Cricetulus griseus: one gene and its partner. The protein of the gene in region 2 purifies or fractionates together with the protein of the main gene of each other region. This does not show direct contact. Links are inferred from orthologs where the notes say so. Each region holds a gene or a part of one and is shown on either strand. Other genes may lie near its edges.

What was found.
Region 1: the proteins of Hdac6 (region 2) and Dnaja1 purify together in Homo sapiens (affinity purification with mass spectrometry; 4 studies listed by BioGRID and IntAct, with this or other methods). This does not show direct contact. The link is inferred for Cricetulus griseus from reciprocal best matches to the Homo sapiens genes HDAC6 and DNAJA1.

The regions. Positions count from the first base shown.
Region 1 is NC_048595.1:101,868,311-101,873,007, forward strand, and holds part of Dnaja1 (dnaJ homolog subfamily A member 1), read right to left. Parts: intron 2,002-4,697; coding exon 1,887-2,001; intron 773-1,886; coding exon 657-772; intron 437-656; coding exon 336-436; intron 1-335.
Region 2 is NC_048604.1:114,416,598-114,422,023, forward strand, and holds the start of Hdac6 (histone deacetylase 6), read right to left. Parts: upstream 3,586-5,426; 5' UTR 3,495-3,585; intron 3,489-3,494; exon of another isoform or gene 3,330-3,488; intron 2,955-3,329; 5' UTR 2,925-2,954; coding exon 2,835-2,924; intron 2,750-2,834; coding exon 2,621-2,749; intron 2,493-2,620; coding exon 2,404-2,492; intron 375-2,403; coding exon 290-374; intron 192-289; coding exon 151-191; intron 1-150.

The sequences.
Region 1 (4,697 bases), on a different chromosome or scaffold from region 2:
TTTTTAAGAATTTTTCCCAGATTTTTCTGTGTAGCCCTGGCTGTCCTGGAATTCGCTCTGTAGGACCAGGATGACCTTGAGTGCTGGAATTAAAGGTGTGCACCACCACTGTCTGGCCAGATGGTTTATTCTTTACCAACCCCCTGGTGTGCTAGATTATAGGGACACACTACCCAGGCCAGGTGCTAACAAAGTACGACTTTCTAAGCCAGCCAGCATCCCCTGCAGCCATCAAGTCACATGGTTTTCCAATTCTTTCTGGACAAAGAGTAAGCGCATGTACTTGGTTTATATTAGCTAACCATTCTCAAATGTCCTTGAACATTATAGCTTACCTTAAACTCAATGATAAGACGTCCCTTTTCATATGGCCGACGATATATTGGCATACCTTCATTTAGCACACATTTTATATCTCCATGCTTGACAATCTGACCTAAAGACATTGATGCCAAATTCATTCTTAAGTATGGTCAACATTTGCATAAGGCACCCCCCCACAGACGAGAAAACCAACAACCATGTTGTCTTGAGGTATCCAACATTCATCCAGGCCCTCGCTATAATTTTGTTTCAGCCCTAGGAAGGACATAAGCAAGGAAAGGACACTTTTTCCTCAGAAGTCCAAACATGAAAACAGGCTCATCTAGTTGTACCTGGATGAGAAGTGATGACTATGGTTCGGTTGTCAAGAGTGGATATTGGCTTTTGGAAGCCGCACAATGCTTCAACCAGCTGTATGTCCATACACATGAAAAGATCTTCTCCTCGTCTATAGCAATATAAATAAAAGGCATAGTCACATATTTCAAACCACCAAATGACTACACACCACAGTGGGCAAACTTATCATTTGGAAACCAAACAACTGAAAGCTGAGATTAGCAAATTATTTGGAATTGGCCAGCTGTTTGCTGAATAGCCTACAAAATTCAACCACAGAGCTGGGTACAATGGTGTATGTTTGCCTATATTGCCAGCACTTAAGAGGTAGAACACAAAGGGCAGGAAGACCAAAGCTGCTTAAACCTACACTCCCCACACCCTGGTTTTTTGAGACGGGGTGGGAATGGGAGGGGTTTCTGTGAAAAAACAAACAAAAAAAGGCTCTGGCTGTCCTGGAACTGATTTGTAGGATGGCCTTGCACTTACAGAGATCTAAGGTTAAAGGTATGCACCACCACTGCTAGCTAAATCTGGTACTTAAGAGGGGAAGAGAAAAAAAGACCCCCCCCCCAAAAAAAAATTGAGGCTAAAAGAAGCCAACACACATTTGGAACACAGGAATCAGTGCAAATTGCAAATTGAAAACAGACCTGGGTTAGATCTTTACTTAGGCCAATTATGACTATTTAAGTGATAGTAAAAAGTTCTTTGCTAAGAATATATTAAGTATTATGCCTTAAGTTAACTTCCCCAACTCTGAAATCTTTTCCAATACAGAATATACACCTGCCACACCTCCAAGTTGAGTTTGGAAATCTTGTGCTTCAAGATACAAATTCAGTACAGCAGACTTGAATGTGTACATATACTTAAAGAGTCTTAAATTGTAGTTTTTTATTCAAAGTGTTTGGGTATTTACACATAAAACAACTAAACTCAGCCAGGCATTGGTGGTGCACACCTTTAATCCCAGCACTCTGGAGGCAGAGGCAGGCGGATCTCTGAGTTGGAGGCCACCCAGGTCTCCAGAGGGAATGCCAGGATAGCCTCCAAAGCAATACAGAGAACAAACAAAAAACCCAAGAAAAAAATCAAAACTCAGCATGAACTAAGGTGAAAGTTATTACTTTGAATTGACTGTCCTGAGACTGAAGGGGTATTATCCAGCCACAGAAACAAACAGAAACAGGCAAGAAGTTAGTTTGAGATTAAGTCTTTACCGTGTAAAAACAGCATGGTCCTTCTGGTCTAACACAATGATAATATCTCCTGGTTCCAGTCCTGGTTCTTGGTCTCCTTCACCATGGAATGTTATCTTCTGACCATCTTTCATGCCTAAACACAGATTGATTTTGTACTTTTACTGATATTGGACATGAAGGTCAAGATCATAAAATCTACTAAAATACACATGTGGTCTGAGAATGTAATCCAGTGGTATAGCATATGCTGAGGCCCTGGGTTCAATCCTCAGTACAATTCCTGCAAGACATCCTTCTGGCCTCTACATGCACAATTTTTTTTTTTTTTTTTTTTTTTAAGCATCCTCTTTGTGGATGAAAGATACCACAGAAATGGCTTAAAAGGACTACTTTTAAGGCTATCAAACAGTAGAGGACACAATTCTCTACAAAGAATCAGGCCCTTTATACTTAGCTGCATATCCATCCTAAGTCTCAACTTTCCCAAAGAGACATTTCATTCAAGCTACTGAGGATTAAAAATGCCCACGCTGGAACCAAATTGGCAACTGGCAAACACTATAGCCACTAACTGTTAATTATTTCTATTGTGTAACAATCTGTAATTACTACCATTAATCTAAGCAGCAGTGTCAATTGCCTTTTTTGTTGTACCAGCAGTATTTCTCATAAGAAAACTGTTTACTTAAGTAAATTCATAATTAAGTATTCTTTCCTTGAAGCTTCTTCCCTTCCACTCTTTATTATCTTTCCTGTATCATGTTCATTCTGCTCAAAAACTAAAGTAAAAATTCATCTTTTTCGATACATAGCTCTGTAGTAAGTCATTACCCAGTACCTAGACTTACTAAAAACAAAAAGGTGTTAGCCAGGTGGTGGTGGCTTTAATCCCAGTATGCAGAGGCAGACAGATTTGAGTTCAAGGCCAGCCTGATCTACAGAGTAAGTTCCAGGACAGCCAGTCTTGAAAACCCAAAAAAAGATTGTTTACTATTGGATACTATCTTAGTGGTCCATATACAAAATACTGAGTATTTTTCAATATAGCACTTTTTTTTTTTTTTTTTAAAAATGGTATGTTTATTGAAACTTCTACCTGCTTCTAATTCTGCCCCACATAGTTTAATGAAGTTTTCCCCATCTCTTTTCTTTTGGTGTGCTGTATACATGTTCATGGAGGCCAGGAGAGGTGGTCAGATATCCTTTGTCCACCTAGGCCACAAGCCCCAGTGATGTGGTCTTCACCCCCTAGACCTCCATGGCAGGAGTATACAGACTAGTATATGGCCACACCTAGCTGGAAACCCCTTTGGTGCTGGGAATTTGAACTCAGGCCCTCATGCTTATTATACCATCAGTGAGCCCAGGGACCATGTTTGGGGGGCAGGCTTAAGATCCCAGCACTAGGGAGGCAGAAGTAGGCTACATACTGAAACTTTGTTGAAAAATGTTAAAAACCGGGGCTGGAGAGATGGCTCAGTGGTTAAGAGTAGTTCAATTCCCAGCATCCAAGTGGCAGCTCACAACTGCCTGTAACTCCAGTTCCAGGGGATCCAACATTCTCATATAGGCAATACTCCAATGCACATGAAATAAAAATAAATTAATCATTAAAAAAATGTTAAAAAACGTAAAAACTGCCCCATGTTGCCACTGAAGGCTGGGCGGATGTCATGGTCTATGCTACAACCTGAAGCTATGGCCATGTACATGATCCCAGCTGCATCAGAGGGCCTTGTCTGGGCCCACAGCCCTACTGTAACCAGGAGCCCTGTTAATATTCTGTGCTAACGCCACAAACCACGTGAAAGCCCATGATCCATGCCCCCAAAGACCACAAAGAGCAAATAAGCTACACTGGCAGTGAGAGGCACAGTTTAGAAAGGAACATGGAAAACTTCTGTGACAACCTCTACCCCTTTCCCCAGTAAGAGCCTAACCAAGAAGCCACTGAAAAGAAAAAAACCGTGGTAAGATGCTGAAGTGTCACTCTATATAACAGGTGGCCTTCAGCAGGATTGCAAGGACTAGATTCTATTTATGGGGAAGGTCATGGACAGGAAAGACTGGGAAGCAAATGGGATAGGGGTATAGGGTATATGAGGGGAAATTCCCAAAGAATTGATAAAACATCGGTGAAAACTATTTTTTTTTGTCTTTGAAGACAGGGTTTCTCTGTGTAGCCGTGGAACCCTCTCTGTAGATCAGGCTGGCCTTGAACTCAGATCTGAGTGCTGAAATTAAAGGTGTGTGCCTTGACCTCCCAGCCCCAAACCCCATTTTTACTGTATTCTTTTAACTTGAATGTGAATTTAACTGTACTACCCAGCTGTAGTCCCAACACTTGGGAGATGGAGGCAGGAGGACCAAGAGTTCATGGTCACCCCTAAGTACAGAAGTCCCACTCTATCTCAAAATAACAAACAAGTTATTTAGCCAAAGGACAGAGTGAGGCCAGCCTCGGCAAAATCCCCATCTCAATAGAAGAAAAAGAAATTTTTATTAAGCTGAACCAGAAAAAAAGGACTGATATGCACACATATTCCTTTTGTTTTTCGAGACAGGGTTTTTCTGTGTAGCCTTGGAGCCTATCCTGGCACCCGCTCTATACATCAGGCTGGCCTTGAACTCACCCAGATCTACCTGCCCCTGCCTCCCAAGTGCTGGGATTAAAGACGTTCCCCACCAATGCCTGGTGGGCACACACATTCTTTAAAGATGTGTTATACTAGGTGTGGTTACATGGGAATGTAACCCCTGCACATGTAAAAAGCCAGAAATCTATATTTTAATGAGCCTATTCCTCACCTCACATACACCCATTTATGT
Region 2 (5,426 bases):
GGTTTTTGAGCAATGACAGATTCAGAGAGGCTCAAGGACTTGCCCAAGGATGGCCACAGAGTCTATGGGATTCTTTCCCAAAGCATTCAGTCTGTCCTGGTTGGGCCAGGGCATCCTCCTCCCCGCCCTACCAAGCTCCCAAGGTTTCACCTGTGAACCGACATCAGCTCCTCCTTCTCAGCAAACCGGGCCTAGAGAGACATAAGGAATAAAGGGCTAGAGTGCAGGCCATGCCTAGGTCCTGCCAGTTCCCTGCCCACCACCCGAACACTGGTGGGTAGAGGTTCACCTGAAAGGACACACAACGGTCCAGCAGGCTCTCCAGGATCAGCTGCTCTTTGATGGCATGGAGCCGCTCAGGGCATTCAGGGAAGCTGGGGAGGTGGAGATGCAGTCACACATACAAAGAAGCAAGACACTGGGGAGCAAATCCGCTCCAGTAACCTCTGCAGCCCCCTACCCCCATAGCTGCTCACTCCTTACCCGTGGCACCAGCCTTTCTTCTTGTCATTCCCGAAGCCTTATACTTTCGTCCCCACTTCCATTTATGCCACCAGAACCTCCAGTCTGAGCTGTCTGTCACATCACCTTGTCCAGAACCTCCCTGCTACTATACTTACTCACCTAACAGTCCCTTCTGTATACAGCAGCCGGTGGTGAAAATTCTACTACTCAAACCCTTTTGTAGCTCCTACTCTGTTTACAGTTGGCATCAAAATATTTATCATACCTAGAAGGCCCTAAAAAAATCTATCCTCATCCTTTTTCTGAGCCTAATTTTTCTTTCTTTCTTTCCTTCTTTCTTTTTGTTTTTTGAGAAAGGGTTTCTCTGTTGTAGCTTTGGAGCCTGTCCTGGAAGTCACTCTGTAGACCAGGCTGGCCTCGAACTCACAGAGATCTGCCTGACTCTGCCTCCCGAGTGCTGGGATCAAAGGCGTGTGCCACTGACTAGCCAGCCTGGCCCTATTTATCACATGCCTCCTCTTTCACTGTTTTACCAGCAGTGGTCTCCTTGGTCTTCAACTGAACACATACCTTTCAGCCAGGCCCATGGACTTCAACGCCTTTTGCCTAGAACACTCTTTTCCATAATGACTCCATGGCTCACTCCCTTAATGCCCTCCTTGTAATTTTATTCACATCTCAGCAATGCCTTCCCTGGCTGTTGTATTAAAAAACGGAAGCACCCCATTCCACTCAAGCTTTACTCTCCTGGCCACCTTAGTTCTTCTGGATAGCGCTGTTCTGACACTCTTCCTGATGACTTTTGAAGGCAGGTTAGTTTACTGCTGCATCCCTAGCTCCTCAACAGATGCAGACAGACCATAAACGGAACCTTTTAACACCATTAGTTCATCTTTGGTCACCATACGGGAGATAGCTACTATATTTGTAAACATCAGTGTAATGATTAACAGACAATGGCAGAGGCTAGTGAAGTATCTAAGATCAGATGGGAGAGAGGTACTGGCCAGTGAAAGGCTTTTGTGAGAGTCTCAATAGTTGGGAAAGTTGAAAGAGGGATCAGTCAAGGGTAAAGACCCATGGCTAGAGGGTGCCTGGCATGCTGTAAGAACAGTCAGGAGACCAGTGTGGGTGAAGTGAACTGAAGCAAATGAGGAAAGAACTGGCTGAATAGGTCACTAAGGGTGATGTGAAGCCAAGTCACGTGGAACCTTGGAGGCCAGGCTAAAGAATTCAGACTTTACCTTAAGAGCTCTGCCCTTGAAGTATTTTAAGAATGGCTTTACTGTGGAGGTTGGAAGTAGGAGACCAGTGAGGAGAAGTCAGATAATATATTTTGAACATAGAGACAAAAGGAATGAGCAGATTCTTAAGTATGTTTTGGCATAAACGTCTCTACCTCAAGGAAGGCTCTGGGACTCCAAATGCAAGCTACTCCAGGGCTGTCTAATAAACACCTCTGGCCAAGTGTGGGAGCTCATGCCTGTAATCTCAGCACTCAGGAGGCTAAGACAGGAAGATCCTCAAAGGGTTGACACTGGCTTAGGCTAAATAGTGAGTTCCAGGAAAGCCTAGGCTATAGAGTCAGATTTTGTCTCAAAACAAAAACAAAAACACATGAATTCCTAGTCACTTGGTCCCCGTTAAAAACTTCATAATGCTGTTGGCTGTTTAATAATCTCCCCTCATACTCACCAATCAGCTGAGCAGGGGCTTCTCCATTTTGTTCACATATATCACCAACTCTTGGCACACAGTAGACACTTGATATATGTGTTGGTTTAAAGAGAACTCTTTCAAGAATGACCCCCACCTCCCTAAATCATCTGCTTCCAGACTACAGGCTCCAATAAGAAAAGATTCACTCTTGCTTGGGGGAGAGGGGAGCAGAGGTACAAATGTTCTACTTTGGGGACAATCTAGAGGTCCCAGCCTCACCTGTCATCCCAAAGGCAGTGGAAGTCATTTAGTTGTTCATCAAACACCAATCCAGTACCAACCGATAATCTTGTCTCAGGGTTCAGATCCTGCAGGGGGAAAGAAACACAGATTCATTCAGAGCCCCAACACAGAAAACACTGCATAGTGTCTAGGGTGGGGAAAATAATTGTTTTGTTTGGTAAAGAAGGCCAAACTGCAGCCAGGCATCTCTCACCAGCCCTTGAAGCCCCACGATCAGGTCTTCTTCAACAGCTTGGCTGAGCTTCTTCATTTTGCCTTTCTTCTTTACCTCTGCTAGATTGGGGCTGGAGTGCATCGCAGTACCCTTCTTAACACCCCGTTTCTGACAATCAGAGAGAAGGATCAGAGTCTGGACATGGCTGGCTGGCTTTCCCTCCCCCCTCATCAGCGCGCGTCTGGGGCCTCACCAAGGTGGCGCTGGAGTCCTGGGGGGGCGACTGAGGATTGTGCCTACTCCTTCGTTGTTTGGTAGAAGAATCTTGGCCGGTGGAGGTCATGGCTGAAGGGCCTTTGGTCCTGGCACGGGTCTAACAGGGGTGTAGTTGACGGTGAAGCCCCAGGAGTGTCCAGAGGACCCCACATCCTTGCCCCTTTACAGGCCCCGCCCCTATTCTAGATCGCATCCTTCACGCTGTTCCATTCCTGTGCATTCTAAACCCCGCCCCTCAAGGCCATCTTCTGCCATAGAGGAAACCTGGTCCCCTGAAGGCCATCTTCTGCCACAGAGGAAACCTGGTCTCGTCCGCCCATTCCCCTGGACCTCGCTGGTTTTTATACGATTCTCCTTCATCTTGCTTTTGCACTCAACAAGGTAACCCCAGGCTCAATCTGGCTCTTTTAAGACCTACCTGCCCTTTCCAATCACCGCTCCCCACCTCTCTACTTTCCACACCCTTTCATACCGCTAATCCTCGCCCGGAACGGTTGGCTTCTGCAACCTGTCCTCTTCAGCCTATCTCCCAGGTTAGTCAACGACCCTTCTAGTCCGCCAGGCCAAGCAGAGGCGGCCTCGGCACCACCCTTAAAGACTACACTTAACTCCACCTCCTATAGGGCCGAACCCGCACCTTCCACACCCTCTGATCTCGCCCAAATCCTTTCACTGTGCCCCCGCTGCTCAGGGGACTGCCCCTTTCGATCAGAATCCATTAGACCCCACCCCCTTCTCAGATGCCTAACGTTTAACCAAGCTCCCTCCGCCAGCTCTAAGCCTCCGCCCCCTCCCCGCCCGGCCATAGACGTTAGCCAATCCTTTCCCCCACTACTCACTGGGCGCATCCTCTTTCTCAAACTCCGCCCTTGACTCGCACCGCCAAATTCCCGGCGACCTGTGTGGCCCCGGGCACCTGATTCCTTCTTTTCCATTGGGCTGAGCGTTTTAATTTGCCCGCCCACGTCCAGCCCACAGCGCGGATCCCCAACTCCTCAGCCGCACACCACACCTCTCGCGAGCTCACCAAACTGACTACCGGGTAATACTGCGCCTGCGTAAAGTGTGACTCACTGGTTCGAGACCCGGATCTGCCCCTAGCGCTACCCTCCCCCACCTCCCCACCCCCACTCCCATCCACTGTTCTCGCTCTGTTTGCTATGATTGCCATTCTCAATTCCAGGCCAGTCATCATAGGAGCCCTACGGACCGGCATCGGTTGTACTGTGCAGTGATTCGAGAGCAAATCAAAGAAGCCAGGGCGTTCAAAAGGGATTCCTGCGCTGCACTTGGCGATGACGTAACTAGGGCAGGCAGGTGACTGGTCCGAGATAAAGGCTAATAATAGACTATTGACTAGTAAGGACTGTGGCTGCTGGCAGCCACAATGAGAGTGGGATACGTGTTGAGAATTTTCTCAGTTAGTACTCACTACGGTAGTACTCAAGCATCTCCATGTTAACTATTAACATTCTGCGAAAACGGGTAGGGGCGCGGAAGGAGTCGCTAAGTGGCACATGTTGCCAGAAAGCCACACTTCTGTAATATAGTTCGCATTGTTAAGGCTGCGTTGCAGAGGGACTTAGACATATGATTTTGGACAAGTCACAGCTCTGCCCTCAGTTTCCTTATCTGGAAAACTGTGATGCTGGTACCAAGACCAGAATGGACTTGGGAAGGATGTTTTCCTGGATGGCAGCTCAATCTACCTGCCCCCTCCACTGAGTAATCAAAGTAATAGCATGTGGTGGACTGGAGAGGGAAAATTGTCACTGTGACTCTTTGGGACTTCCACTCTGTGTCTAAGTTTCAGTCCCACTAGAGGACAATTTGTCCTCCTGATCGCCCACTCTCTTCCCTTCCCATTTCCTGCTGGGCTGTATGCTGAAGCTAGAAAGAAACCTTCTGGGGTTCTACATCACTGACTAGCAAATAGATTAACAGTCCCCAAATCCAGTAGCCAGAGCTTCTGACCCCCTTGCAAATGCCAGTTTTAGTCCCCCGAATTGCCTTAAGGGCTATGGGTCTAAATCTGCATACACTAAAGAAAATACATAATGATACATAATAAAGAACATTCTGGGGTGTGATACCTACAGAGCAATATATTAAACAGTGAAGTCTCATTTCCTGTACAACAGGAGTCAGTAAAATTTTAAAAAGGGCCAGATAGCAAATAAAGGCTTTGCAGACACATGTAATCTTTTTGTTTGTTTGTTTGAGACAGGGTTTCTCTGTTTAACAACCCTGGCTGTCCTGGAACTTGTTCTGTAGACCAGGCTGGCCTCGAACTCACAGAGTTCCACCTGCCTCTACCTCCCAAGTGCTGGGATTAATGGTATGTGCCACCATGCCCAGCATATTTTATTTATTTTGTCTGTGTGTTTGCCAGTGCCTAAGGAGGCCAGAGAGGGGCACTGGATCCTCCAAGAGCTGAACTTCCAAGTGTTTGAGCCATTTGATGTGGGTGCTAGGATTCAAGCATGGAGCCATCTCTCTAGCTCAACAACCATGAGGAACTGTATTAAAAGATTGTAGCATTAGGAAAGTTGAGAACCACTGACTTAAA